Arabidopsis thaliana: one gene and its partners. The protein of the gene in region 3 interacts with the protein of the main gene of each other region in a pairwise test. Each region holds a gene or a part of one and is shown on either strand. Other genes may lie near its edges. The genes, in order: AT2G20110, AT5G03050 and SAUL1.

Region 1 (10,219 bases), on a different chromosome or scaffold from region 3:
ACATAAGTAAATTGTATTCTATTGAAACAATTAGCTGAGGTTTATGTATTTCTATAGCATTAATTAATTTAACGACTATATTTTGTGAGATTAGTTTTGTGTGAAAAACTATTTAGTTTTGTTGTCACTCTAATTAATTTTCACAATTACAGGCTTTAAGTCTACCATACTTTGGTACTCCCTCGAGGAACAATATGATGCACCAACATGTAAGTATTAAATTAATATACAGCTTTAATTAGTAACATGTATAATGTAATTATACACTACAAGATGCACATACATGCATGGGTTTCTACTAACACATCATATATATATAATGGGGCATTAAAATGTATCTTTTTTTTTTTGGTAAGTGCATTAAAATGTATCTGAATGCTAATCATTATTAATTTGTAATTACGTGAATATAGGCACAAAGAAATATGAATGGTATATTTCCTGAGGACCCTGGTCAGGTACGCACATATATTTTTTTACTTTCTAGTTTTATATACTTTACTTTTTATTGGATCAACTAAACCCAAATCTCAATTTAAAAAAAATAAATACTTGCCAGCTTTATTCCAAAACAATTACCCTTTTTCTCTACTATTGTTCTCTTGAAATTGAAATGACTACGATAAAGTATGGTCAATAAAATAAAAAGATGACATTACCAACTTTCCTTTTCAGTCCTCTATTAAACCTAGAAAAGCCATTTAAATGATTTATTATATTTATTTTCCTCAATCAGAGTAGCTTTGGTCACAAAAGTTTTTTTGGCAAATGATCGATCTAAATCAACTTTTCCAACCAAGATATCACGATTCACCTGTCCCACAAATGGTTTTATATTTTGTGACTACTTGTGAGTTTGAAATTAACTCTGACTCAAAATTTTAGCAATATTTTTCAAAGCAAAATTTATCGCTTTTCAAATTCAGAAAATTAAATACAAAATACTCACACTCAAAGGTATTAAACCCGCGGATTGGTGCACAAAACAGTAAATATTCATTTTTTGGTTGCAAAACAGTAAATATTCATGAAACTGGCATAGGTTATTTTATCCATATATCATTTACATGTAATACAGGCCGACCCACCGCAAAAGAATTTGGGCTGTTGCGAAGTAGGCCAACCCGTTTTGTCACCAATACTCCCACTAGATCACACTTTCAATATTATTTTAAATATCTATGCTGAAGAAATATTTTCTGATTTGGTTAATCAGCTTGTGAATGAGTATTGCATGAAAAGAGGAGTTTCATTGTCATCGACGGACAATCAAAAATCAAATCCTAACGAAGAACCGATGAAAGATTTGAGAAGTAGAGGGCTTTGTCTTGTTCCCATCTCATGCACACTACAAGTTGGCAGCGACAATGGTGCCGACTATTGGGCTCCGGCGTTCGGAACCACTCTCCAGTGAACTATTCACTTTCTGTTATTTTATTTTTGGTCAGCCAAAAAAAAATAGTAGATGTTATAACATCATGAGCAACCAATCAATTGAGAAAACATCAAAATGAGTTTCCAAATTTGATTGCTCATGATGCTATACTAAAACCGATTGGTTTTGGCGTTTGGCCTTTGAGCATTTTCAGTTGACGAGTATGAGATGGCTTGTTGAATCATGTTTTTCTTACTTTAATAGGAAACTTTATTTATTCTCTTAATGTATATGTTGGTTCTATTTTAATTTTATTATTGTTATAATAGAATGGTTAAACAGTTAAAGATGTTTTCATACTAACTTCATCACTAGGTTTAATCGTTTAAGATGTTTTAAAGAAGCAAGAAATGTTGTCTTCGGAAAGAAAACAGATGTACTTATAGATACTTTCTGTTCCCAATAATTTAGAGACTAATGATTTCTTTTATAAATTGTCCTAATCAAAGTTTCGTTTGTTTTAGTTGTCTTTTTAGATTTCTCGTGCATGGTCTCAGCTCAGTTTATTTTTAGACACTTCAGACATCTCACCATGGTATTGGAATTGGTAGTGCTCAATTGGTGGGTTTATTATAAGCCCTTTGCTCCATCACTATAATTGGGTTTATGGACTTTGAATTAAATTCTACAGGCCCATGGGTTTATGGATATTGTTTTCAGCACATGTCAAATGTCAATATATGAAAAATTCAATGTGGAGAAACTTCTGGTGGCTTCATAAAGAGTAAGACTGCATTTCCTGATAGTAGTAGTGTACTGGTGTGGATGCAGATAACGTTATTAGAAATCAAAATTGAAAAGGTAGCTATTTTTAGGTCACATATTGTATCATTAATAGTCATTGTTCAATGATGAAATAATGAAAGACTAAAACTCTTGGATTGAGTCTTAGAGATCTATAATGTAACTTAGGGCATTAGCTTAGCCTTAATTTCACATGGTCAGTGCTTTAGTGTTGTGCAAATGAACTTGAGGAAGAAGCATTAGTTGGATTGAAGTTTTATTAGTATGCTTATATATACTTTTGTAATTCCTCATATAGTGAAGTGTCCTTCAACGTATTAAAACATAAAATATAAAATGGTTTGAGACTTGTAATATCTTTTATTTTCATGCAAATTTTTTTTTAAAAACTTTTATAAGAACAAACTTAGCAGTTGGTCTCTAGCACAATGAGTTTATTGTAGAATTTTGTGGAATCAAATTTAAGATTTAATTAACCTGAAAATAAGTTTAATAGATTTGTGACATCAAATTTTTAAAATGGAATCACAGTCTTACGTTTTCATTCCATCTCTAAAGTATGAAGGAAACCTGTAATGAAGCTTCCATGCCACCTAAGTTGTACAAAGTTCTTATCTAGCCTAATGAATAAAACCTAAAAATTAAACCAACTACAAAAGTTCAAACATGAAAAGCACATAGGAAAGGATCTAATCCCGATGTCGAACATCATAGTTCACTCATATGATTTTCAGTTTTCGTTGGTCTTGTGTGTTTTAAGTCTTTTTAAGTCTTGTGTGTTTATTGGTACCAAAAAATTAAATATTCTTCTAAAATTTACGTATCTAATTAAAAGAGAAAATATATATAATAAATCTTTTAACTATTGGTAATAAGTGTTAAAACAAATCTCAACTTTATAATAGAGTAAATATCAATGTTCTTTTTGTTGACCACGCAAAATAGACCTGAAATTAGTCAACTTTAACTATACTATTGTATTAACTAAATGTTAATTTTTAGTTATCAATTTATTATTTTGAGAAGATAATCAAACTGTTAACTAAAAATAAAAGTCACTTTCAGTTTCTATAAATCCCCAAAAATCAATTATAAACCCAAACTCTTCCTCACTTCATGTTTAAAGTTTAAACCAAAAAAAAAAAAAAAAACTCTTCAAAATCCTGATTTTGGGGAAGAACATAGATTCGCAAATCGATTCCTCTTCATCACGCAACATCAACAAAATAGTCAGTTTCGATTCCTTTTCTTACTTAGATTTTTTGTTTTTGTTTTTGAATATTTAAAACTATTGGGGCATTTTCGTGAGTAACTTAATAATTTGGGCCAAAACCGTTATTTTAAAACATTACTTCTCTATTATGTAGTAGTCACGAGTGATCGGATCGGACGGTGAACGATCGACGAAACTTCAAACCTTATATGAATAGTAATCGTCAGATCAACGTATTTAATAACAACCGTACGATCAAAATGTCTGTGAAATCTAACCGTCGAATATAATCCAGAAAATTGAAATTTCAAAACATGTATAAGAGAGGGAGGAGCAGCTCTCGCGAAGACGAAGAAGAAGAAGAAAAACCCCAAATTTCTCTGTTTTTTTTCGTTGGGTGGTTCCTCAGTGGTTACCAAATCTCTCTTCTTCTTCTTCGTCAGAAGCTAAAACCTTTCAAAACCCTAATTTCATCTATCTATCTCAATAAGTCTAGATCAAAAATTCGAATTTCAAAATCCCGTTTTGAGTTTTAGTAGATTCGGTTTCTGGGTTTTCGTAGAAACGGGATTAAGGGCGGATTCAGATCTTGAAATTTTTGTGTGTTTCTCAAACTGATTATAAATTTTGGTTTTTTTTTTTAAATTTCGTGTTTGAAAAATAGGGAAAATTTCTGGGTTTCTTCTGAGAAATTCGAATTTTTTGGAGATGGGAGAAGGTGAAGAAGGAGACAAATTCCCGCCAAAAACGGATGAGGTTACACAAGAGTCTATGAAGTCGGCGAGGCAACTCGATTTTACTGGTGGTTCTTCCGATGTTGAGCATTCACACTCTAATCAAGCTTCTTCGATGGCTGCTGCATCAATCCCTTCACCGATTGTGACGGTTACGCGGCCAATAATTACCAGTCAGGCACCACCGACGGTGGCGACTCCGATTCCACCGCCGCCACAATCTCAGGGCATCATCCTTCACGTCCCAATTAGACATCCGTAAGTTTCTCTCTTATTCAAAAATTTGAACTTTTGGGAAGTTGATAGAGATGTGTTTCTATGTTGCTGAAGTCAGATTTGGGGATTAAAGCATAGATCTTTACATTGATTTGAAAAGATTATTGAAATTGACATTTTGATTTTCATAGTGAATAAGGCAAGGTTTGAATTTCTAGAGTTGACACTTGTTTTTGTAATTGCAGGAGGCCCGAATCTCCGAATTCGATGCCAAGGCCTGCTGGGGAAACTAGAGATGGAACCCCTCAGAAGAAGAAACAGTGTAACTGTAAACACTCACGGTGCTTGAAGCTGTAAGTCTCTCATCATACCATTTGATGACAAAACTCTTTGTTTCTTTGTGGACTTGTTCATTGTGAATTGAACACTGTACAATGTCTTTTTTTGATCAGGTATTGTGAATGTTTTGCATCTGGCACTTACTGTGATGGTTGCAACTGTGTAAATTGTTTCAACAACGTTGAAAATGAACCTGCGAGACGACAAGCGGTTGAATCAACTCTGGAACGGAATCCGAATGCGTTCAGGCCAAAGATTGCTGCTAGTCCACATGGTGGACGAGATAACAGGGTATGTGGTTTGTGTTATGCTCTTTAAACTGTTGGTCTTAAGGTTGTTGGATAAGTTATAAATTTTGACTCGATTTGCAGGAGGAGGTTGGTGACGTTGTGATGTTAGCGAGACACAACAAAGGCTGTCACTGCAAGAAATCCGGATGTCTTAAGAAGTATTGTGAGTGCTTTCAAGCAAACATTCTTTGTTCTGAGAACTGCAAATGCTTGGATTGCAAAAACTTTGAAGGGAGTGAAGTTAGACAATCTCTTTTTCACGGTGAACATTCCCACAACTTGGCTTATCTTCAACACGCAAATGCTGCCATAACCGGAGCTATTGGTTCCTCTGGCTTTGCATCTGCTCCACCTCCTAAGAGAAGGAAAGGTCAGGAGATTTTCTTCAACCAAGGAACCAAAGATTCATCCACTCATAGGCTTGGCCAGGTAAATCATTTACGCAAGTTTATTTGCTTAGTCGGGTTCTATATGATTTCCTCCTTTGTTAGAGAAATGAGAGATCTTATAGTATAATTATTGGTATCAGGCAAATAACGGAAGAACCACATCTTCGCAAACTGGTTCTCGTGCTGGAGGCAATGCGTCGTTAGGCCCATCCAAAGTTGTATATAAGTAAATTTCTGATGTGTTAACAAAGCTAAATCTTTTCTTTGAGACTTGCAGAAACTGAGTTATAAAATATGTTTTCTTTTGAAGGTCTCTTTTGGCAAACATAATTAAACCAATGGATGTGAAAGCACTATGTTCTGTTCTGGTTGCTGTAGCTGGGGAAGCTGCAAAGACATTAACAGAAAAACGGTTAGCAAATCAGAAAGAAACTTCCGTAGCTTCTTCTGTGCAAGATCAAGGACACGTCAATAATAAAGCTGAGAAATCTGGTTTAGAGGATTCAAATGCAGATGGCTCCAAAGGGAGGTCACTATCTCCAGAAACTTTGGCATTGATGTGTGACGAACGGGACACAATGTTAATGGTTGCAGCTTCACCTAATTGTTCGGTGGAGCCTACGTCACAGCTACCAAACGGGCAAGACCAGGTTTATGCAGAACAAGAAAAAGTAGTATTAACCAAGTTCCGTGACTGCCTTAACCGAATAATCTCCTGTGGAGAAGTAAAAGGTAACCATTTCTTATATCATCAAGAAAATGGAGTATATGCCCAGACATAAAGATTCACTTATTCAAACCTAGTTTTTTGTTTGTTTGTTGCAGAATCAAATTGTTCTATGTCAAGAATGGATCTAGATACACCTGTACAAACGACTGTCAGAATCGACCCAGTGGTTCAACAAGCTCCAGTTGCAAATGGAGTTTCACAAACCGCAAAGCAACCTTCCCAGCTAAACACAACAACACCAAACACATCCTCACAAACTGCAAATGGAGTTTCACAAACGGCAAAGCAACCTTCCCAGCTAACCACAACAACAACAACACCAAACACATCCTCACAAACTCATCTTCATAAAACTCCAGCTTTGTCTGAGAAGAAAGACCTCTAAATCAATTATTTACTCCTCTAGGAAACAATAACTTTACAGAAATGCAGCTGCATCCATCTCCCCATGCCTGATATATGAGGTACTGCCACCAACACTCCTTTTCATTCCTCTTACATATTCTAAAACAGAGGAGAGGTGGCAGCTTCAGCGCATTAGCAGGTGCTTAGAGAGTATTACTAAATAACTATTCACAATAATTTTGGTTGAATTATTAGGCTTTCTTCGTCTTTCCTTTCCTCCAAATTCTTCTCTCTGATTCATAAGAGAGCTGTTTCTTTACAAAAATTGTTGTCATTATTTGTGTACATTGTTACTTACCATTGGCAATCACAGTGATGCTTATTGTGGAACATACATGCTATTGTCTGATTCTGATATGCTTTAGGCACTATAGAAGACCTGATGTTACTTCATCTTGAGATTTGAAGAATAAATAAACCAAATCAAATTTTGGTCTTTTAAAAAAAGAGGATTTAGTCAATTCTTGTAAAACTAGAAGAAATTTCGCAATACTTTTCAAGAAGAATAATATTTTCAGGAAAAAGATTCATATCTAAGAAGAGAGGGAGAGAGAGACCTACCTTACATTATACACTTGTAAACACATGAAATATTACAACAATATTGAAGAGACTCCAGAGACACACAAACACTCATCAACAAATCCCAACAAAAAGAGAAATTCTTCTGCTTTAAACTATAAGCTTGTAGCTCTATCAATCGAGGCCAAAGGTTTATCAACAGTGGACAGAATCTGTGGCATTGACATTCCACCCGAAACAACAATCTCTGCAGATGAAGAATGAGTATACAGTGTTCAGTATCTTTCCACAAAATAATTTGAATGCTATATAACAAACGATAAATGTATCTAGTACAGACAATTAGATTCTGAAATCTCACCAATTCCTTCCCGGACCGAGAGGTTTGGCCTGATAACGTCATTACTGTTGACAAGTAGTAGATCTCCAATGTAAAGGTGGTTCGTGGGAACGTATACACAGCAAAGTTCCTCCTCGGTTGGATAGTTCTGCAAGGACGAAGGACATTATTACATTGGATAAACAAATGATGTAATTATAGTAAACCATGCCTCGAGATTGTATCTGCCTTCGTATCCTTTACCAAAATCGTTGAGCAAAGCAATTTCACTCACCTGGAGAACAACAGTTGATGTAATGAAGCCAAATGCGTATTCACCTACACGGGGATGCCTGATGATTGCAACTTCCTTGAAAGCTTGTGTATTTTGATCTGTGATGAGAAATGGATAAGAACAAGATGAGATAGGAGATCAACTTAATGTTGAGAAGCAAAACAAGATTTTTATAAGCAAGCTAGACCAGGCGATATGGCAGTGCTGATTTGCTTGGAGGCGTTGTAGATGTGACGAACAAACGGCATCCGCTTGATAAACCACTCTCCCAAGTTCAGAACCGATGCCCCCAACCACGAAGACATGAACACCCCAACCAAGAAGATGAATGCAATGGAAGTCAAAAAACCGAAACCTACAAAAAACCATAATCAAACTTATTGTGGGAAACGGAACGATATCAAATTGTTCATTCGATAAAGAAGGGCCACTCAAATTCTTACCAAATACGTTGATTCCAAGTTGTGCATATATTGGAGAGAAGAATCCATCGACAAAGTGAATAAACCACCATGTTATATAGAAAGTAATTGCAATAGGAAGTAGGATAACACTACAAAAAGCAATTGAGATTTGAAACTATCAGCACAAATCTTGAATATGTGACAAGTTTCATCAAGCCAAAATTTCAGTAAACTCTTCCTTACCAGCCTGTCATGAACTTCTTTGACGCCCAGCCCCTAATGAACAAGCTTAAAGTCTGCAGAAAAATAGATAAAGCATCAGATCACAATGCTCCTATGTGTTATATATGCTTGAAAACATGAATTAGCATGACATAGAGACTCAAGAATCTGACAGATCCCAATAAAAACACTTAAGATCTAATGCAAATTAATACTCTACTCAGTGAGGAAAGGTCAAATTTCTATAAGCATCTTAAGAATTAAGATCAGTGTTAACACACTACCAAACTTATCTAAGCAAGTGTTCTTGTAATATACTGAATCTAGGGCTAAACCATGTTCCAAGATTTTGCACTAAGGGGTTTCTCAGAATGGGCCAAATCTCTGAAGACTAAATCTTGAAAAGACCTAAGAGCTTAAAACCAATCCAATTCAACTGTTAATTGCGCATGAATCTTGAAATGAGAAAACGAAGAACAAGATTTTTAGATCAGGTGACAAAAACTAGACCTCGTGGCTGGATTGATGCGAAGAAGAAGAAGCAGAGGAAGAAGAAGAAGGCTTCGAAGAAGAACCGTCGTCTTTGTCGCCGGAATCAGCGACGGGAATCAGAAGCTCTCGATCTCTTTCTCGATTGGCCATAACAATCACCGGCTTCTCGTCTCCCATCGCCAAGAAACCAAAGAGACAAGGAAATCTAGTCGGAGAAAAAGAAAGAAGAGAGAAATGCCGGTGAACTGTGAACGGCGGAGAGGAAAAAGGCTGAGACTTTTGCCGGCGACTGTTCTTTTGTAGCTAAGCTTAGCTAACTCCAACTTGAGCTCTCTGTCGTTTTTGGATTTTTCTTTTTATATCTGTCTTCTTTTATTTATCCTTTTCTTAATTATAACATGATTAATTTTTGTTTCAAATTACTGTATACAAATTATTTTCAAAAGATGAAAAGATTAATTTTATTGTTGTGAATTAATATATCAAAAATTTATTTGTTCTACTTGAAATCATATACATTCATCGTAAAAATAAACTTTACAATAAATATTTTATTATCTAGAGTAAAACATTTTTGATTCTTAAGCAATATCAAAACAATTCCATCATATTTAAGCAAAAAATAACTAATTATAGTATATGTTTTAAATGATTTATACTGTAATATTTATTATTGTCATTTTTGTTTGTTACATACGTCTTCGAATTATCACATTAAAAGAGAAAATTATTCTAACGATTATATATTTTCCCAAGACTGCACCCAATGTTAAATCTGATATGGAAAATAATTTTCTTACAACTTTCAGATTTATTTTAAATATAAAAGTTAAGCAAAAACTATAATATATATATATTTGAGATTTCTATATGAGATAAAGTTCTAAAATAAATTAAAGTTTACAAAGGCAGAGAAATGAAGATTCATAATTAGGTCAGGTGCTAAGCACAATCCTCCTCTAAGAAAATTTTGGTCGATACATTTTTAGCTGCAGTATTTTATTTCACCATAAGAATTAGTAACATGTTGGAAACAAAACGTACCTGAGATCAAAAGAAGAGCTAGACAGAGAAATGTTAGACCATTTTTTTCTTCGATCAACAATGTCTCTCTATATATACCACATTTTATACTATTCCCTAATATGTAAAACGATATTGCCATTTGTCATGTGATTATTATTAGGGTGGGATTATCTTTGATTATCTTTTTGTTATAAAGTCAATGCGACAGTAATATGAAAGACACAAGGACGCGGATACAAATTATAATCTATAAGAAAAGAAAAAAAATTATTTTTAAAAGGGCTAAAAGAAAACAAGGTTATTCAAATAATATTGACAAATTACACTTCTCGACAAATTTTTCTGTGTTTTTTGGTTTCTCTATTCGCTCAGATTTTGTGAAACGTCTCTTCTGATTTTTTATTTTTTCCTATCGATCGGCCAAAGGTTTTTGAATAGTCACTT
Region 2 (10,105 bases), on a different chromosome or scaffold from region 3:
TAGTAAAAAAATAAATGACTGGCGCTTACACTGCACAAATGAATTACGAAATGAAGGGAACACATAAGAGACAACAATCTCGGACACATTCATAAGTGGGAAAATAATTATATTAAATAAAATACCTCAGCTGCCTGCTCCGTTGGTCACGGTAACGCCGCCACTCTCCACCTTAGGGGGAGCTGAGAACCGCCGTGGTTTAGGCAATGCAGGCGAAGTTGGATACGAGAGCCGTTTCTTAGCTGATGCCTTGTCTGTGAACCCTTCGTTTTCCTGTGTGGTACCACCTAATGGGCTTTGGGGCTTGAGCCTGGCTCGAGCTGATTTAGTTGGAACCATGTAGCTCGGGAGAGCTGGTGAGCCAGCGAGGCTCTCATCGTCTCTGACTGATGAACCAGCAATGCTGTGTCTGCGGTTCCTCTCGGACAGGACCGAGATTGTGCTTTTGGAGTCGTCGTCATTGGATTTCCTCGAGGATTGGTTTAGCCTTGAGGGAGTTGGAGGTGAGAAGAAACTGTTTTTGTTTCTTGGGGTCCCTCTTGCGGATGATGGTGTGTTTGGTTGAGTTGAGCCATTGCGGGTTAGAGATTTTGCAGCTTCGTTGCGGTTAATAGAGCCCTTGACCGAGGCAGCATTGTCATTGTTGCTGTTGCTTTGTTCTTTCTCGGAACTCTCTAGTGGCCTACCAGCCATCCATCTCTCTAACCAGCTCCAACCCCATGTCGGGTTGCTTGGATCCATGAACATCGGGTTTCCAGATTTAGAGTTGTTCTTCCAGTTTTGCTGCAAACATGAACATATAGGATCATTACAACATTCAAATGAACCACAGATTCAACTTCAATGGATGTGTTCACTTTTTAATTGTATCTTTCCACACATTCAGCATTATAGGTAACGACTGGAGTACCTGATGAGAGTATGAATAAGCCAATGCCCTTTCCCTTCTCATTGTTGCCTCGTACTTGCTTAGCAAATTCGCTTCAACTTTCTCCTTTGATTGAATGCTATCATTCCAGTTATCCCCGTTCTGTGAGCAGCAACAGGAAAAATAGTACTTTTATAAGCAAAGGCCCAAAGATTCCATTTTCAGATAAAAAAAGAGACAGTAAATTGATAGTGTAAGTAAACATCTATTTGATATGAATGGTAATGCTACTATTAACCCTTTCCAGACTAATAAGCAGAAACATAATAGCAACTGCTAGGAAGAAATCAACAGTTCTTACTTCTTAGCAATCCTCTCACCAAAAACAACGGAAGAAACTTTGAATAACAAGAAAAAAACTGAATCAGATGAATATGAGAGACAGACCTTCAAGCCAGCTAGCTCTTTAGCATGTTTCTGAAGGAGTTGTTTCTGGCGAGCCTGATTCTCTTCTGACATCCTGATTCTCCTAGCTCGGATCTGCGACTGTACACGAGAGAGAGTCTGCATACATTTTAGAGTATTTGCAGCTTGCCGCTTAACAACAGATCCTTCCATCAATAACTTAAGTCTGACCAAACCCCTCATTGCCCGCAACGCTCTCCTTGCCTGTATTTCAGATATTACACAAAATAAGATTATACTCAACAAAGCAGCTTCCTTCACACAAAATCAAGTGCCTCGGTCAAACTCATACGAAATTCCGAAGGAATTAAGTTTCTGCAGATAATAAAGCCAATTGCAAGAGTAGAATTACATACCAAATAACCTCTAAATATAGTCTGGATCAAGATAGCAGCGGCTTCTTCGTTTGACTTTCCAGCAAATCGAGTAGGTGTAGCGCGACGAACAACACCAGGAGCAGATGAAGATGGAACTACAGGAACATCAGTAGCTGTAACATTCACAGCATCTGCTGTAGAAGGAGGTGAAAGATCCCTGTTCCGTTCAACAATCACTTCAGCTACTCTCACTTCACGAGGAGCAAGAGCAGGAGGAGGAGAAGAAGAAGATTGTCTAACATTATCCACAACAGGAGGATTAGAGATAACACCATTTTGTCCCTCAGCCAATTTTTGCTTCGACTTCTGAAAACACATCAACATGTCAATATATACAGACTATAACATTAAGTCACATCAATATACAAAAAAAAAAACTTCACCTTTGAATCTGGGCTGAATGCTTTCTTAACACTTGAAAACCATTTAGCTTTTTTCCCCATCTCTATGTAATCCTTCACAGAGAAGAAACAAATTATTCCACAAGGAAACTGAATCTACTGATCTCAGTAGCTAAATTACGACAGATCTCGAAATCTAGAGCTAAAATTCACCAATTGATACTGAATCAGGGAGAGAATGAATCGTACCTATGAGAAGACAGTGACACCAGATCTGATAGACGAAAAAGCTTGAAGATAAAACCTGGAGGAGTCAACTAAACCACAACGCGGCTTCTAAGTAGTGACCTTATCGGAGAAGACGAAAAAGCTTAAGAATCGAATCGATTGGATCTTTGCTGAGGTGCGAAGATAACTTTTCTTCTTCGAATTGCTTTCACATTATCATAATTGCAAATGGAGAAGAGAGAGAGAGGAGAAGACAGATGGATTCAAAGCTGTGTGAAGAAGAGTATTTGTGACGGTGTGTGTTTGTGCGTGATGCCACTTAATTGGGCCTCTTTTGTGGGCCCCATTCTACTCTTCTTTTTTTCCTTTTCTTCTTCTTAATTTACCAACTTCGTCTCTCTTTTACTCTATTCTTTTCACTTTTTTTTTTTAGTGATGAGTTTTATTTCTTAAGTTTCATAAACACTGTTTTGTTAATTTTTCTTTTTATAGTATAGTATCTTTAGATTTATTATTATTTGGTGCATTTCAAAAATAGTATACATAGTTGACATGGTATATTGGTGTTTTCTCTAAAAATGTTTGAAATTTTCTTAAAATATGGATAACGTGTAAACTGGAAAATGTATTGGATTTTGTACCTTTTTTGAAACTAGATAATTTAATGAACAAGTTATGAGGATCGATAAAACAGTGACCATATAAATTTTAAATTAATTTATAACTTTATCCGGTAAGATTGGTCTTTAATTTCACCTAATAAAACAAAATTGTTGCAATAAAAAGTTTTTATTCGTCTTTAATTTTTGTCTTTAGGCGGGTTAAAATATAACACTATATTTTTGCCGTTAAATATCTGTTATTAATCGAATTAAGATTTAAGATCGTATTTTTTGTCGTCAAATACCAATTGTTTATCGAATTAATTCATCTGCATAATCCGTATAAAGTATGTGTGTTTTAATACACGCTTACATTACTACAACCGACAAAACATGTGAACAAAATATGTCCACCAGTGAGACAGCCTTTATCATTTTAAAATATACTCGTTAACAAGCCACCATATACGATACTTAATACTTTCTGGATTTGATAAATCATGAAAATTAGTTGGTCATTGTACTTGTACACCATATCATATTTTATGTTCAGATCCACCCACACTACTAAGTTAATCTCCGATGGATGAACAAAGAAAATATTTGACTCATAATACCTAGTGACACAAACCATAAATAATGCTTTGGAAAAACTCGTTTTATGCAACAGCTATTAGCAGACTGTATTTTGCTCTATGATCGTGTATATCCACCACAAAAGCAATTTCCCAAATTATATGGATTGACATACAGTGAACTAGAACGATGATTGAAAGAGTATATAATTTTTGTCCACTGGATTAAGTATTATCTGCCTGAAATCATTGACTTTTTTCGGAGATAAACCCAAAAGGTTCCTTATCGGTGGCCAGCTTGTACCAGTCTTCCTGTAATTTTTGTGGTTAAGAAAAAAAAAAAAAAAAAAAAAAAGCATATATATGTCCAATCACTCCATGTGGCGTCTTCTCTGTTTCGTTAGTATAACATCCCTAAAATTATTTTCATATAAAATAAGTGAGAACTAGCCGTTGGAATTTGATAATTTATTTTAGCTAATCATATGTCCAACATATCAAAGTCCTATGTATAACTGTTTATATAAAGATATGCCTCTGATAACTTATAATATTAATAGGTATCTGTATATCCAAAGTCGGTAGTTGAATTGGGGATATGGACATTCCACCTAATGTATAATTCAAACTTTGTCGTTGCCAATAAAATAAAAAATAATTATAAGCTATTATGAAAATTTCTCTCCCCGTCGGTCAACTTTGAGTTGGTCTTTGCATTCTAGCAAGTGAAATTTATAAGTTAATTAAACCGGGGGAAAAAAAAGATAACTAAACCAAAATTGAACCGAAAAATCCATTTGGCATTATCTGAAATGTAAGTGGGGCATGGAAATAAGGTCAGGGCCGTTAGCGTTTTAAAGATATTTAGATGAGCCAGTGAGTTTGGTAACGACCCGACATTTAAGTCTTGTCGTTTTGTAACAGAGCAACGGTAGAAGATTCCTATATTGGCTAACACCTAAACCTGAACCCATGATAACGCCATACCTTTTTCTTCCCAGTGAATTTAATTGAATTAACAGTTTACAACTTCATATATAGATTAGTCCATGTCCATCTATATCACCTCAGAGAATTTAATTTCACCACTATTCAACTTTTGTTACTACTTCAGTTCATCTATTTTTTCAGTTAAACATACACATTTAAAATAATATTTATAGTTATAAGAAAACAATTTTATAATAATATTTTTTAAAAGATAGGGTTACGTTCAGCATGAGAGTTTTTGGGAGATTGAGTTGAAACAAGAACTGAGAAAAACATTTAAGAATTGCAAAAGAGAATGAAGAGTTACTGGTTTTTGATCGAACTAGAGATATGAGTCATTTTCTATATTCACTCCAAAATCTAATAAAGAAGCAAACACAATTCTGGTTTTAATTAGCTGAGAAAGGTTCATGATAAGCTATTTCTATGTTTCCTTCAAAACATCATAAAGTTTTTGAAACTGAAGAAATCTAAATTCTCAAACCAACCATATGTTGATCTAAAGTTATATATATGACTTCTTACACCACTGGACGACAGAAGATAATCTATTCTTAGTAATGGCTGATAGTACTTCTTGATAGGGTTTTAGACTGTTTACCTCATTGCTCAATGCTAGGATTCTGAATCAGATAGCGAGCGTTGTGTAAGAGGGAAGTAGTCTCCTCGTTTGATGCATCAAGCAAACGCAACTCCTTGATCTCGTCCTGCCATTTCTCAACATGTTCCTTGTGTATCCTGTTTCATAAATGTGAACAGTGTTACACATGTGAGTGTATAAACATCTCAATCATGGTACATACAGAAACATTATAGAATCTCTTCAAACTCACATGATCAAGCGTTCTTCGAATTCGTTACTGAGTTCCTTGAGCATTGTTTTCCCTGTTTCCAGCAAGTTAGAAACCTACCACAAGAAGCATCAATCAATATCAGATTCTTCCTAAACTTAAGCAATCAGGGAAATGATAAGAGCAGCTTACAGTTTGTGTGAAGCTCTCAATCTTATCGAGAATTTGCGCAATGCTAAGTTCCATCTCATCAGAAGCAACAAGTTTCGTCTCAGCTTCTTCATTCTCAATGGTATGATCAAGGCTAATTCCATCTCTCGAATCTCCTTTTCCCTCTTCATCCTAACAAATTTCACAGGACAAAATCAAAAATCTGATCCACCACAAAATCATCATCACCAGATCAACGACAAATTCAAAAAAAACTTACAGATGCTCTCATGCGTTTCCGAAATCCTCCATTCCCTGCGTCTTCTTCCATTTCAGTGTTCATCAAAACTGCAGTAATTTAAAACGATGCTCATGAACGCATAAACAGATTAAGAATTAAGTTTTCTACTCGATGCGATTGAATCCACTAGCTAAAGCATCGCAGCAGATTCCGATTTCAAAATCTAAAAACCGTACGATTACATCCCCAACAATCTAGCTTAGGATTCTACAATAGAACGGAAGAAACTAGATCGAGATCGACGAAAAAACCTCCGAAAGAGATTAACAGAGAACTTACGCGATGAAGATCGAAGAAATTGCTCAGTACGAATTGGAGAGAAGAAGATGAAGAAGTTTTAGAGAGAGTCCAGTGAGTGTAGAGAATGAGGAAGAAAAGCCAATTTGTTTATTCCGAGAATCCATTTAAATAAGCGTTTAGATTTAAGACTTATTTTATTTTATTGTCTCTGTTTCATAATCATCACTAATTAAGTAATTATGCTTATACAATGCTATTGGCGTTTTAAGTATGGAGGAGTGACTCAAGAATCAAAGCGATTTAGATGCGATTTGATATTAAGCCGAGTAATCCAAACATTTTACAAAAAACATACAGCCAAAATATTCACCTAATCAGATACTAATCGTTTTTTTTATCTATCTCGTCCAAAAAATGTTACAACCTCCGGGACAAAACAAAAAACAATAAACCGGAGGATCGATAAGATATACCTTAAACTAGCTTAACTTAAGAGTGAGCAACTTCTTCTGGCTCAGTGATCACTGCATCGAGAAAGGTTCAAGACTTGTTATAAATATCCCGGGACCTTTTAAAGGGAAGCTCAACGAATACATGTTCAACTGATGATGATGATGATGATGACGACGATGATGACAATAGACGATTTACTTTTGATGAGCTTGGTCCAGCTGATTGTTGTTCTTGTTTTACATCAACAGAATTTTCAGAGATTATGTTACTCTCTCTTGGATGAGGATTATCATTTTCAGCATCACTCTCGTCAAGGATCACAATCGTATCTGCACACAACAGAAAATATTCAAATAAATTTTCTTACAAGAGAGGTTCACCAACATATCAAGAACATACATACATACCTGTTGGAGTGTTATTCACATTATGATCATCCACCATAATAACCTCATTCTTGATAGTCACATTATAATCCTCCACCACAATAACCTCATTTTCGAAAGCCACATCGCTACTCCCTAGACCGGCGAGATTCTCAGCATCAAAAAGCGATTTCAAGAATGAACATTGTGATTCAGCCGCATCAAATCTCTCTTTCAATTCAGCATACTTGTTCTCCATCTTCTTCAGCTTCTCCACTTCTTCCTCTTTCGCAATCAAAAGCTCCTGATTCTTAACACTCAAATCATTGATAATGGCCTCTTTCTCACTGATCATTCCCTTCATCTCCTTCATATACTCCTCTTTCTCACTTCTCTCTTTCTCTAAATCCTTAAGCAAGCTTAGAATTTTCTCCTCGAGTTCCTTAATTTGCTTCTGATATTGAAACTTCATTATCTCGTTCATTTCATTCATCTGCTTAAAACTTTCCTCTATACTTTTGTAATCTTTTTCCAGATTCTCATAATTCTCCTTGAGAATTTCATGTTTTGTCGCCAAAATCTCCTCCTGAACAACCAAATTTCTTCTTGTCGGAGTAGCCACCGACGAGATTTTGTTCTTCCCCGATTTGTTTGAACGAGCTGATGATTTTCCAGTCATGACGTCGAAACCCTAACCCTGGATATCAACACAAACAGCGGTCAAGCTTTTACTAGAGCTTCTTTATCTTTGCCAAATTTACAAAATTTCACAGATTTCTAAAGAAACCCTAAAACTCAAATTCGTTCTAAGCTCCACCGGAAGAAGAACGGGGAAACTAACACTAGCGGATCTTTAAACCAAAATGTACAACGGAAGAAGAAGAAGAATCTTACCCAGAAAATCTTTTGAATCTTCTTCTTCTTCAAACGACCAGAAGAGAGAAAGAGCTAGCTACTGGAAAATGAAAGTAGCTACAGAGAAGGGAAAAAGCAAATCCCTAGAAACAGAGAAAATGAAGCGGGAATACGAAAGGACAACATATTCATGATCAAGTTAATAATTGAATCTTTGTTTAGTGTTAAATTGAACTTAATCCAAATTTTTGTTCTCTTCCCATTCATGTCCTCAAACAAGTAAAATCATTTACTTTAGTTTAGCTTAGATTAAAAAGATAATTCGATATTCAAATAAAATACCACCGTATCTAAAAATCATAATTACATTGACAGTGTATCTTATAATTGGATTTGAAGTGACAAGGAGGATACGACAAAAAGGAATCAAACCTTCGGTGAGACAAAACTGTATTACAAGTAGTTACAACAACAACCCAAAAGACAAAACCTAAAGACTATTGTCTTTCTCTCTCACTCACTATCGTTACAAGCAAACGCTAAGATGACTAGTTTCCTTTTGATTTCATCATCCGACTTTCTTTGTATTCTCACCCTAAAATCCGAGGCGATTTCATTCATCGATTCCATAATCTTCACCAAAGTATTTATCCACAAGACTGTTCGCCATGACTCTCAGCTCTTCGTTCTCATGAAACTGAAACCGTTCCATTGCATCGATACCGTCTTCTCCTTCCACAAGCTTTGGCCCTTCCCCGTTTGGCATTCCTCTTAAAACCTATCCACCAAAGAAATCAAAACCAATTAGGATCATTCCTGTTCCAAATATGACTATGCGACATCAACATATAAGCAAAACTCGTGTCTCATTGAGCTTTTAAGAGCCATTTAATTAGTTGCTTACCAGCTCAATGAACTGAAGACCAAGCCTAGCAGCTTCGATATCAGGAGATCTGACCAGCTCAATGAAACCCCGGAGGCAACCGCCACTGACAATAGAGACTAAATGCTCTTGAATTATCCTTGGTTTTCTGTCTCCTTCTGCAGATTCTACACAGAGATTTCCCAAGACATAGGCAACTTCTTTCCTTATATCAAAGGGGGATGTGGAAAGAATCCGTAGCAACAATGGCATTACTTCAGTAGAATGTATCATTCTCTTGTGTTCAATAGATCCCGCCGCTATATTAGATAGCACCCAAGCAGCTTCCTACAGAATCGAGTATAGTGATGAAAGCTTCATATAATTGTAAAAAATTAAAACCACAACGGGAATGTGATACTGACCTTCTTTAAAACACGGTGCTCGCTTCTTAAGCACTTTGCAAGCACACCAATGATGCTTTCTGAAATTTAGTTTGCAATATAAGTATCTTGAATATATAGGATTAAGGTGATGATGTTTAACCCGGAAAAGATAATAGATACTAGCCTTCAGTGTTCTGTTCACGGATAAGAATTGTTAATACTGCTTTGGGATCAACAGCGACAAAATTGCCTAAACTTCGGAGAACCTGGATTCACATTTTTGTTTTAGAGATAATCAAGAATGCAACATTTGAAAATTAAGGACCACGTAGTGAGTATTCTGATTCTAATCATTCATGCTAATATGAGTATAAATGACATCGATGGGACTTGGAACTGGAAGCAATTGAATAGCATAATCTGAGGTAATATTTTAACTAGAATCCTGTTTCTTTTGGACGATAAGGTCTATCTGAAAGTTACCGGGATGAGAAGTTGTAGGCTACTTGAGGTTGCTAATCTGTCAATAAGTAGTTGAAGAATGCCTCCCTTCAAGAGCATACTTGTAGCGATATCTGAGAGGGCAGATAGGTAAACAATGATCCATGCAATTTCCGTGGCAGTTTCCTCATCCCTGAATCCAACAATCAATAATATTTTGATCAAATTATTCACCAAAATTGAACAATAGAATATCAATGGCATAAAACAGACCCCTATAAATCTAAAGAATCACTAAAAAGCAAGACACCACAACACGCTAAGAAATTGTTGAAATTCAGAGAGATGTAACTTTGCTCACGTTTTCTTCAAGTGTCGAAGAATTGCATCCAGTATCCCATCAATTTTAACAAGTTGTGCTGCTGCCTTTGACTCAGGTCCCTGTATTAAGGTATAATGAAAATAGTTTGTAACAAAGGCTTGTAAATTATAACCAAGGTGATAATATCCGTGCCAGGTTTTTCCCCACCTTAATCAGATTTGACAATGCCCATGCAGCTGTTCTCACTGTTGAACCCTTGTCGGGAAAAATCATACGTGCTAGAGGTGGCAAAGCCCCTTGAGACAAAAGAACATTTCTCAAATCTTCTCCTTCACCGGCAACATTACCAATTGCCCATGCGCACTGCTCAGCCACCGGTGCGGAGCTCTTTTCTGAATATAAACTTGGAATCATATGAAATCTAATCCAACAAAAACAATAGAGTAATAACAGACTTGGTTGGCCAGTACAACAAACCTCCAAGGTGAGCAAT
Region 3 (10,992 bases):
TGTTTTTTCCTATCTTTCTCTTACTAATACACTTAGATATATATAGTTAAGCACATAACAAGGACATTGACTGATAATGTTCCCACTGTTAGGTTTTGGCAATGAGATCACTTTTGACAAATCAAAAGAGCAAAACTCGTCTGGTGAGAAGGAAAATGGTACGGTGGATGATGGTAGTGGGCCACCTGATTCGCCGACCCATGTAGAGGACAACTATGGCCCTTTTTCAGAAACCTCAGACCGCCACCATGAGAGTGAATATGGGACAACTCACAGTGAAGATAGAAGTCCTAGAGACAGTCCTGTCTCTAGGAATGCTACTGAGGTCCCATCTCCAGATTATTCTCAGGGAAAGAATTCTGAATTCTTTGATGACTCGAATTGGGCAAGTGCATTTGACACTAACGATGATGTGGATTCAGTCTGGGGATTTGATGCATCAAAAAGCCAGGTTAGTAAAGAAACATAGTGTCTCTCGCTTTAACACATCAATCCATCTATCAAAATACTAAATCAAATCTTTCAGTTGTGACGAATAGACATTGAACTGATCTTTTAATTTCTACAAGATTTTGAAAATCCGTATTAAGTTCATGCTTTTCAGATTTGCGATGTTACATTTACCTTCTGTATGCTGAATCATTTAGTTATCTATTCAGAGTCTTAACCAAGCTTAGCATTTTCAATATCAACATTGGCAGGATGGAGATTACTTTGGATCAGGTGACGATTTTGGTGGAAACACAGCAAGAGCAGATTCTCCAAGTTCAAGAAGCTTTGGCGCCCAGAGAAAGAGCCAATTTGCATTTGATGATTCAGTCCCCAGCACTCCACTCTCAAGATTCGGGAACTCTCCACCTCGGTTCAGCGATGCATCAGCTAGAGATAATAACTTTGATAGCTTCTCCAGGTTCGACTCCTTCAACACCAGTGAAGCAGGCGCCGGGTTTTCTTCGCAGCCCGAGAGACTGTCTCGGTTTGATTCCATCAACAGCTCCAAAGACTTTGGTGGAGCTGCCTTCTCTAGGTTCGATTCAATTAACAGTTCCAGAGACGTCACTGGAGCTGAGAAATTTTCGAGGTTTGATTCCATCAACAGTAGCAAAGACTTTGGTGGTCCCTCGCTATCAAGATTCGACTCTATGAATAGTACAAAGGATTTCAGTGGTAGCCATGGATACTCGTTTGATGATGCAGACCCGTTTGGTTCCACAGGTCCCTTTAAAGTCTCTTCGGATGAAAGCCCTACGAAAAGGTCAGATAACTGGAACTCCTTCTAGCCTCGGTTACTATCGTTCCCTTTTATAATCCTTTTTCCTCGCTTGATGAACTTGTGCTTGTTTCATAATTATAATTTTTTCACCAAATTCTGGTTTTGGATGAGACACTAGCGTTAGTCTATTTGTAATTTGTAAAGTTTGTCTCTGTATTGGTTTCCTACTGTATCTCTGTTATGTTATGAATTCATTTGCTTTATATGAAAGAAATATTTGAGGATTTCGTCGTGGATAAGAGATTAAAGGACAATGAAATGATTTTATTTTTCTCCATTTTTACTGTTTCTCTTCTCCAAAATGTTTTATTATTTTGATATATCCTTAGCTCGAGGTCTTGTAAGAACTTCTGGTAACATTTAACCAAATCAAAACAGATACACTTGAAGGTGGTAGCTACAAAATTGAAAATCGAGCTAATGCATTGGTACATTCTAACCCTCTGACTCGAAGAAGATATGATTTTCGCAGCATCAAACTGCTATGATCAATGTAACATCAGTCTTTGAGGTTGGCTCCATTCTGTTTCCGTTGAATCCACTGAGCACATTTCAGGATCAGTTGTTACCAAGGAACTTCACTTCTCTGTGATCCGCTCAAAGGCAGATATCATCGATGCACGCATGTTGGCTATTTCCACCAGAGTTTCAAGAGCTGTCCAAAGACGAGAGAAAAAAGAGTTTCAGTTGTAAACTGGAATCTTCCTTTGAGTATACTTGTGGTGATGAGGATGTTACCTGTTTCAAATGATTGTTGAGCGCCACGCAGCTTAGGAGAGACTAGACCTCCAAATACTGACAGAGATTTTGCCCGTTCTTTCTTTATCTGGAGCTCAACACATTCGAATTAGTAAAACCATCGTCCTACATTTTGAAAACAAGTAGAGTTTCTGCAGACGGTTAAATGATTGCTCACCTCTTCATCAGCTGCTAAAACGGTTTCATCCTTGGCTGATGGTTTCTCTTCTATCGAATTACATAAAGCAAGAGATGATGAAACACCGACAAACAAAGGGCAGAGAATAACCAACAGATGAGTCTTTTTTTACCAGAAACTCCTCGATGTCGTAGCTGTGGGCTGAGAGGTGAGCCTATCTCCGAATCTGTATCAGTAGAGAAGTCTTTGCCTTTCCTGCTACCGCCCTTGGAAGCCCACTTGGACAAAGCAAAATGAGGTACTGATCCCAAAGATTCAACTACAAGAGTCCATAGACATACACTGTATATAAGTTGCTTCCCCGCAAAAAAAACATAAATTCATAGCATATAAACGTAAACCATTGAACTATCAAACGCCCAAAGCATAAGCCAAACTTACCATCTTGGTCAGTCACTTGCAATGTTGAAGAAGCGGGATGATACTTAAGATCTAAGAGAGTGCTGTTGATGCGTAAAGTTCCCATAGAATGTCGAGCACTAGCTAGATCAAACCATCCCTGCAAAAATAACACATTTCAGTTCCATACCAAATAAGTTAATTAAGGCAGCAGACTCTCACTCTCATCATATCAGTGATATGAATCCACAAAAAAGTTTCTCCTCATGGCTACTATAGCTAGATAATCAACGAAAACGTTTCCCACGCAATCCTTTTTAATCCCAGATTCAATTCAATTCAACACAGAATATCTCAAGTCATCTATACATCAGAACATAAGAATCATTCCCATAAGATCCCATTTTAGCTCAATACACCAAATATCATTCCAATTACCTCTCGAAGCTTAGAATTCACAGAATCCATAAGCGTTAAATATCCATCCAACGAATCTAGAAACTGCAAAACATTCTCATCTCCTCCCCCTTTTCCCAGCTCAGTTTTCACTTCTGATTCTTTATTCACATCCACTGATTCATCTCCTTCCTCGTAAATCTCCGCCATCGAAATTTAGCTCCAACACACGCGAATCAACAAATCGAAGCTTACACGAGGAAGACAACGTAAAGCGATCGAAACAGAGACAGATCAATTTCTCGAGTAAACGAGGCTATTTTCGTAATATTTCAATTAGTAAAGGCCCAATAGCCCAAGTAGAAGACAACGTAAAGCGATCGAAACAAAGACGGATCAAACGAGGCTATTTTCGTAATATCCAATTAATAAAGGCCCATTAATACCAATAGCCCAAGTCGAAAGATTACCTCTTTCGGGTCAAACCGGTTATGTTTATGGGTGGGTGGGTAGAGCAAGTCGAGTGTGTGTGAACACAGCGCCAGGCTGTTTGTCTCAGTTTGTCAAGTTGGCGTTTGGTGGCTCCACGTCTCTCTCTATCTCTCTCTCTCACATGACTTTTCGATTTTAGTCAACCTTTCGTGCTTTTCTCTTAAAAATTCGATTTTTTCTTCAACCCATCTTCTTCTCTGTTATTTCCTCTCGCTTTTACCTGTCTCTCTCGTTCTCGCACGGGGATAGAATCAACTCTGCTCGAGATTTTAGTAGGAGGCAAGCTCGATTGCTTGCAATTAGATCCATGGATGAAGAAGAACTCACACTTTCTCGCGCGTTTTTAGCTCAAGGAGATTTTTGAAGAAGTGGTCGTTTTCGAATTGTCAACTTCAGAAGAAGAATCAACTTTGGTTTTTTCTTTTCCCTTCTCTGTATAGCTTTGAGGAGGCGCTTCTTCAACTGGAACAGGCTGGTGTGCTTTTTTTTTTATCTCTTTTGGTATTTTTGAAATGCTTCATGAGACGTTGTTTCTCTTCTTTATCTTTTTGACGAATATTGCTAAATTTGGTAATCTTGCTATATAAGGGTTCATGGGAGTGATGATTTTGGGACACTGTTACTTTTCGTATTTTAGGTTATAGTTATGATTGAAAGTTTGAATTTTGTTTCCTTGGCTGTGAAAGAATCCGGGAACCAAACTGTGGTACTATCCCTTTTTGTGTTTCCAAAACTTTCTCATTCATTTACTATCAAATTTCGACACTTTCTTACCAGACTCTCTTGCATTGATGTATCCAAGTGGGTTTTCATCTAGGATCCTATGTTTCATAACAATGAGGTATTTGCTTGTACATTTGCAGTGAGTTTGAAGGATTAAGATGGTTGGAAGCTCGGATGGTGACCAGTCAGATGATAGCTCTCATTTTGAGCGAGGAGTAGATCATATCTATGAAGCATTCATCTGCCCATTGACAAAGGAGGTTATGCATGATCCTGTCACTTTAGAGAATGGTCGAACATTCGAGCGTGAAGCCATTGAGAAATGGTTCAAGGAGTGTCGGGACAGTGGGAGACCTCCTTCTTGCCCTTTGACATCTCAGGAGCTGACTAGCACTGATGTAAGCGCCAGCATAGCTCTGCGTAACACTATCGAAGAGTGGAGATCCAGGAATGATGCTGCCAAGCTTGACATTGCTCGTCAGTCACTGTTTTTAGGGAATGCTGAGACAGATATTTTGCAAGCTTTGATGCATGTGCGACAGATTTGCAGGACCATCCGATCAAATAGGCATGGTGTACGCAACTCTCAGCTTATCCATATGATCATCGACATGTTAAAAAGTACTAGCCATAGAGTGCGGTATAAGGCTCTACAAACTCTGCAAGTTGTCGTTGAAGGAGATGATGAGAGCAAGGTTGAATCTGATTTCTTTTCATCTCTGCTGAATATTTAGTGTAGCATTTTAATGGGAAATTGAGCGGGTGCTAATTAAATTTTCAGCATCTTGCAGGCGATAGTAGCTGAAGGGGACACTGTGCGTACACTAGTTAAGTTCTTATCACATGAGCCATCAAAGGGGAGGGAGGCAGCTGTTTCCTTGCTGTTTGAGCTCTCTAAATCAGAAGCTTTGTGCGAGAAGATTGGTTCCATTCATGGAGCACTAATATTATTGGTTGGTCTGACAAGCAGCAACTCAGAAAATGTTTCAATTGTTGAGAAAGCTGATAGAACCTTGGAAAATATGGAGAGGTCAGAGGAAATTGTTAGGCAGATGGCTTCATATGGTAGACTCCAGCCTCTTCTAGGCAAACTCCTTGAAGGTGAAAGAATTTCTTTTCTTTGTTTGGTTTTAATATAACAATTACGCTCTCTACTTCATTTGCATAAAACAAGTTATCATCTTCCTTCAGTTGGTAAAATTCTTCCTTCAGTTGTTCGGATGCATCACAGTGTTATGGTATTCTGCCTTAGAATTTGTTTGCTCTAGGAATTTTACATGTTCGCTTGTAAGAAGAGTCAATTTTCTTCTACCCAGATGGTCAAATCTTTCATTATTTTCCTCTGTTATATGGCAAATTTCTTGTATGAATAATGACACCACATGTGAAATCTGCAGGTTCACCTGAAACAAAACTCTCTATGGCTTCCTTTCTCGGGGAGCTTCCCTTAAATAACGATGTGAAGGTTCTTGTGGCTCAGACTGTGGGTTCTTCTCTTGTCGATCTTATGAGAAGTGGTGACATGCCCCAACGGGAAGCTGCCTTGAAAGCTCTTAACAAAATCTCATCGTTCGAAGGGAGTGCTAAGGTCTTGATCAGCAAAGGAATTCTCCCCCCACTTATCAAAGATCTGTTTTATGTGGGGCCAAACAACCTTCCAATTCGGTTGAAAGAAGTCTCTGCCACTATTCTTGCTAACATAGTGAACATCGGGTATGACTTTGACAAAGCCACTCTTGTTTCAGAGAACAGAGTGGAGAATCTGCTCCATCTAATTAGCAACACAGGTCCAGCGATCCAGTGCAAGCTGTTGGAGGTTCTTGTTGGACTCACCAGTTGCCCAAAAACAGTTCCAAAAGTTGTTTATGCAATTAAAACCTCCGGTGCAATCATCAGTTTGGTTCAGTTTATAGAGGTCCGAGAGAATGATGATTTGCGGTTGGCTTCCATAAAGCTTCTTCATAACCTTTCCCCATTCATGAGTGAAGAACTAGCTAAGGCCTTATGTGGCACTGCTGGACAACTCGGAAGCCTTGTTGCTATCATTTCAGAAAAGACACCAATCACTGAAGAACAGGCTGCTGCTGCTGGGCTCTTAGCTGAATTGCCAGATAGGGATTTGGGTCTTACTCAGGAAATGTTAGAAGTTGGTGCTTTTGAAAAAATCATATCCAAAGTGTTTGGAATCCGCCAAGGGGATATCAAGGGAATGAGGTTTGTGAATCCTTTTCTGGAAGGACTTGTGCGTATACTTGCTAGGATTACTTTTGTTTTCAACAAAGAGGCTCGGGCCATTAACTTTTGCCGTGAGCACGATGTTGCGTCACTCTTCCTTCATCTGCTCCAATCCAACGGGCAAGATAACATACAGATGGTGTCCGCCATGGCTTTAGAGAATCTTTCACTAGAGTCTATAAAGCTGACACGGATGCCTGATCCGCCTCCTGTGAACTACTGTGGCTCGATCTTTTCGTGTGTGAGAAAACCACACGTTGTAAACGGGCTGTGCAAGATCCACCAGGGAATATGTTCATTAAGAGAAACATTTTGCCTTGTCGAAGGAGGAGCTGTGGAGAAATTAGTGGCTCTATTAGACCATGAAAATGTGAAAGTGGTTGAGGCCGCACTTGCAGCTCTATCGAGCTTACTAGAAGACGGGTTAGATGTAGAGAAAGGGGTCAAGATACTCGATGAAGCGGATGGGATACGGCATATACTAAACGTTCTGAGGGAGAACCGAACAGAGAGGCTGACAAGGAGAGCGGTTTGGATGGTGGAAAGGATCTTGCGGATTGAAGACATAGCAAGAGAGGTGGCAGAGGAACAGAGCCTGAGCGCTGCACTTGTGGACGCTTTCCAAAACGCTGATTTTAGAACGAGACAGATCGCTGAGAACGCGTTGAAACACATTGATAAGATCCCAAACTTCTCAAGTATATTCCCAAACATCGCATAGGGAAAATCTCTTTGAAACTGTCCAGTGAGTTATAGTGATTTTAAAACTGTGGTTTTTGTTTTGATGGGATTACTTGTTAATAGGCATCCAGTTTTTTTCTGGGTATATATTGTAAATTCCGATTCTTATTTGTTTATAAATCCTACGTTGGAAATCGAAATCATTTGATTGGCCTCAGATTAAAAAGGCTTATGTGTGTTGCGGAGGGAGTTGTGCTTACTTTTGCATCAAATATATATTGAGTTCATAGATTAAACCAATTTGTAAAACGTTTTAAGCTTCACACAAACTGATTTGAGATTTGGGAAGAACAAAAACAACTCTTTCTTCGCACCCTTTAAATAAACTAATTTAGTTAATAAAAGACAAAGTACGATTAACCAGACCCATAATAGCCATTACAGATGAGATGACTTCAGATCTGGTAACGGTCTCGGTCTCGGTCTTGGTCATGGGCATAGGCATAGGCATAGGCATAGGCATAGGCATAGCCATGGCGATGGGCATAGGCATAGGCATGGCCATGGGCATAGGCATGTGCATGTGCATGTGCATGTGCATGGGCATAGGCATGGGCATGGGCATGGGCATAGGCATGGGCATGAGCACATGTACATGTTCTTGATCCAGTAATCCAATCACAGAAGACCACGACGGCTTAAACAGAAAAAAGTCTCGATCAGCATCGCACCACGTTGGAATCGAACCCAAAACTCTCCACTTGTTAGCTCTCAAGTCGTATCTGTGAATCACTGAGCCAACCAGACTCATCATCCTCACCAGTAAACACTTGCCGTCGTACGCCTGCACGTTCCAGTACAACAACGGTAAACTTTGGTGCACCACCTCGTTCTTGATCCACCTCACGAGGATCCATTGACCATCAGTCTCGAGGGCATAAACGGAAATCACTGCATCAGTAGCCGATATCAATGTCAGGCGGTTATCGCCGGTACAGAGCAAGAGCTTCCCCGGTTTCCGGTTAAATTGGCTTTGAATCAGTCGTGCTTTCTCTGTTTCGGGATTGAACGCTACGATGCTCCCGTCTTTTCTCAGCCAGTGAAGATCTCCGTTCACGTAAACAGGTTTCGAATTCTTACCCTTTTTGAGATTACTTGCGCGGCAAGTAATGGTGGTTTTCGATAAGCTCCATGATTCTCCGGTGTTGATCCTGAATTGATACGTCGTTTCGTATGGATTTGAAACCTCTAGCTGCTCGGATATGAAAACGATTTTGAATCTCTGAGTGGCTCGATCGATCTGATCAACCGCGAACCCAATCCACGTTTCGTTTCCCCATATAGAGTAATGCAGGAACCGGAACTTCTTTGTGAGAGGATTAGCGACGCAGAGGATACCATTAATGGATAATAGGACAAGGCCGGAACAAGAACCGAGAATATTACACAAGTTCTTCAAGGGTGTCATGTTTTTGAATAACCTAGAAATGGCATAAGGGTAGAAACAGAGGAATTTAGAGCCAACTTTGGAGATATGAAGCAAACTGGACCCGATCCGAGAAAAGTATTCGAATTTAAAATTTGGGTCGTCGGATATATGCGTGTTGATAGATTTATTTGTGCATCGCATCTTCCCCAGAGATTTGGGATCTAAGTTGAAGAGAATCTCATCGAGGAGATGCAAAGGTAATCTCTTCATGCTGATCTCAGTGAGGATTTAGGGTTTATGTTTTTATTTTTGTTCCTTTGGATCTGCGTTGAGGTTTATGTTAAGCGATCTATTTGACCAGATTTTTCGTTTAACATCTCCAGATTTTTAGTTACTCCCAAATTATCCCCATTATTAGAAAAATTAATTGACTTCTTTTTCGTTTATTTTCTTTGGGAGATAAGGTTAATCAGTTTAAAATACAGGTCAAGGATAAAAGATTTATTTCACAATATAATTTGGTTCATGGGTAATACATACAGAGCAAAATTCATACCATTGCTCCACACTAAACAACACAAAAACCAAAGTTAAAAACTTTCAACAAAATCTCTAATCAATCCAAAATTACACAACTTCAGATACCTAATAATCTAAAACCAATACACAGAAATCTCAATTTAACAACAAAATTGCAAACCCAATTCTTCAAATCTCATCAAACACCAAATCGTTTAACGCGATCTACAAAATCGATTAAAGCCAAAACGATATTCTAATACAGAAATCTAACATGTGCATTGACAGTGATCGCAGTATGGTTCCGATGAATTAATCACATTTTCCTCAACAATGTAGCAGAATCAGAGAACTCTTTGTCCCATGGCTAAAAAGAGTACACCACAGTCCACACAGGCATACGACGGATATCATAATCTTTGAACATCAATAGACTTCTTGACCTTACGTGCAAGGTCTTGGCTGATCAGATGAGAGGCAAAACTCCAGAGCAGATGTGTGAGCACTTCAACATCAAGAACGATTACACACCTGAGGAAGAGGCGGAAGTTCGCAATGAAAACAAGTGGGTGTTCGAGTGATTGGATTGGAGTGGATCGGTGTTTAGGACAACTTAATCTCTTGTCTATGCAAACTTCATGGAAGTGGTATTTACATGACAATTCTCTCAGCTCTGTTTCATCTTCATAGTCACATAGACAAATACACCATTTCTAAAACAGAGAAAGATTCATTTATTTTTTTAGAGTGTATGTCAAGTAACTTGTAACTCATTTTTCAAAATTTAAAGTTTTTAGATCCTTACGTTTTAGAACCCACCATTGGACAGCCTAAAAATTAAAAACATTCAAAGTGTCTAAATTTTGAATTTTTTATTATTAAAATTATAAAATTATGTTTAGATTTCAATTTGGGATCCAACCATTAGTCCATAACAACATTTCTAATTAATATTTGTTTGGTCAACAACATGCAATATACGCAATATGTTCAGTCACTTAACTAACTTGTAAACCACAAAGCCAAACTCAGTAATATTTTTGACCCAAGAGACAAAACAAACAACAGAAACTCTACATATACAGTTTTGTTACATTACAATGTGGTGATCCAAAACTGACTAAGATGGTCCGAAGGAAAAAGAGAAATGACAATGGTTACTGCGTACTATGCTTTTTTAATATACATAGAACCACTTATTCACATGAGTACTATGTTTTCAATCGGAGTTTCAAATTGCAAATTCCGTCTCATATGACTTTTCCAATCGTTGATTTCTCTCTAAACATATGGGAATTATCCATCGTTCTTCTCAGGAACCGATGCAATTCTTCAGATTTCTACTTGTGCGACTAGCCCGTCCATCACAATCTATGAGCAAACTTTCCTGACCCTATCACTTCACTCGGCGGCCCAGTCGCACGCAAGATTCGATCAATACATGAAGTTACACATGTCTATAGACTTCACGCCGCATCATCCTTGAATTCCTCTTTTAGGTTATTACTTCTATCGAGGTTTGATTTTAATCCAAAAACAACATTACCTAGTCGTTTTCAAGCTTGGATTCAGTTAAATCCTCAACAATTACGCAGCTGGAACCTTTTAAACATAATTCTTCCTTTTTCTATTTAACTTTTTTTACTAGCTTATAGGCTACATTGTATAGTAGTATACTATACCTCTCTGTCTATCCATCCAGATTATCCTTCCCTATCCGAGTCCTTCTAACCCGCGCACTAACCATCAGTTCATTCATGCATTATCCATATTCCTTGGTTCCATTAAGAACAACCAATCACCGATAGCCTTCATCAACAATCTAACCAAGAAAAGAATGATACTAAGCAAGATACTCTACTAATAGACTAAGAAAACGAGAATCATTAGAAGAATAAGAAAATACAATGACTCGAATGCTTTTAACATTCTCATCGAAGAAGACAGGTGCCACTTCAACACGAAAAA

Evidence for each region.
Region 1: the proteins of SAUL1 (region 3) and AT2G20110 interact in binary tests that used the Arabidopsis thaliana proteins (3 or more experiments, as listed by UniProt).
Region 2: the proteins of SAUL1 (region 3) and AT5G03050 interact in a two-hybrid assay, tested with the Arabidopsis thaliana proteins (2 studies listed by BioGRID).

What each region holds. Positions count from the first base shown.
Region 1 is NC_003071.7:8,680,396-8,690,614, forward strand, and holds AT2G20110 (Tesmin/TSO1-like CXC domain-containing protein), read left to right. Parts: upstream 1-3,721; 5' UTR 3,722-4,100; coding exon 4,101-4,384; intron 4,385-4,587; coding exon 4,588-4,695; intron 4,696-4,794; coding exon 4,795-4,972; intron 4,973-5,052; coding exon 5,053-5,400; intron 5,401-5,500; coding exon 5,501-5,586; intron 5,587-5,670; coding exon 5,671-6,092; intron 6,093-6,164; coding exon 6,165-6,475; 3' UTR 6,476-6,823; downstream 6,824-10,219. Other genes in the region: AT2G20100 (basic helix-loop-helix (bHLH) DNA-binding superfamily protein), read left to right, coding at 153-209, 414-458, 1,079-1,414; COV1 (CONTINUOUS VASCULAR RING protein (DUF502)), read right to left, coding at 7,173-7,264, 7,379-7,505, 7,632-7,729, 7,819-7,986, 8,075-8,184, 8,279-8,331, 8,768-8,926; LCV1 (uncharacterized protein), read right to left, coding at 10,219-10,219. UniProt on the Arabidopsis thaliana protein: Plays a role in development of both male and female reproductive tissues.
Region 2 is NC_003076.8:710,254-720,358, forward strand, and holds AT5G03050 (knotted 1-binding protein), read right to left. Parts: upstream 6,095-10,105; 5' UTR 5,968-6,094; intron 5,736-5,967; 5' UTR 5,731-5,735; coding exon 5,668-5,730; intron 5,580-5,667; coding exon 5,430-5,579; intron 5,354-5,429; coding exon 5,280-5,353; intron 5,185-5,279; coding exon 5,049-5,184; 3' UTR 5,048-5,048; exon of another isoform or gene 3,790-5,047; intron 3,769-3,789; 3' UTR 2,974-3,768; downstream 1-2,973. Other genes in the region: iqd2 (IQ-domain 2), read right to left, coding at 127-783, 911-1,030, 1,316-1,537, 1,690-2,016, 2,094-2,153; AT5G03060 (striatin-like protein), read right to left, coding at 6,469-6,710, 6,789-7,425; IMPA-9 (importin alpha), read right to left, coding at 8,215-8,379, 8,506-8,811, 8,889-8,947, 9,034-9,115, 9,333-9,483, 9,652-9,731, 9,820-10,004, 10,090-10,105.
Region 3 is NC_003070.9:7,213,494-7,224,485, forward strand, and holds SAUL1 (senescence-associated E3 ubiquitin ligase 1), read left to right. Parts: upstream 1-3,527; 5' UTR 3,528-3,912; exon of another isoform or gene 3,913-4,300; 5' UTR 4,301-4,318; coding exon 4,319-4,855; intron 4,856-4,951; coding exon 4,952-5,261; intron 5,262-5,557; coding exon 5,558-7,116; 3' UTR 7,117-7,349; downstream 7,350-10,992. Other genes in the region: AT1G20760 (Calcium-binding EF hand family protein), read left to right, coding at 93-451, 702-1,280; AT1G20770 (coiled-coil protein), read right to left, coding at 1,852-1,928, 2,012-2,099, 2,190-2,239, 2,323-2,469, 2,592-2,709, 2,988-3,155; AT1G20790 (F-box family protein), read right to left, coding at 7,468-8,775. UniProt on the Arabidopsis thaliana protein: Functions as an E3 ubiquitin-protein ligase. Prevents premature senescence probably by targeting proteins involved in this process for degradation. Promotes the degradation of AAO3 and thus represses abscisic acid (ABA) biosynthesis.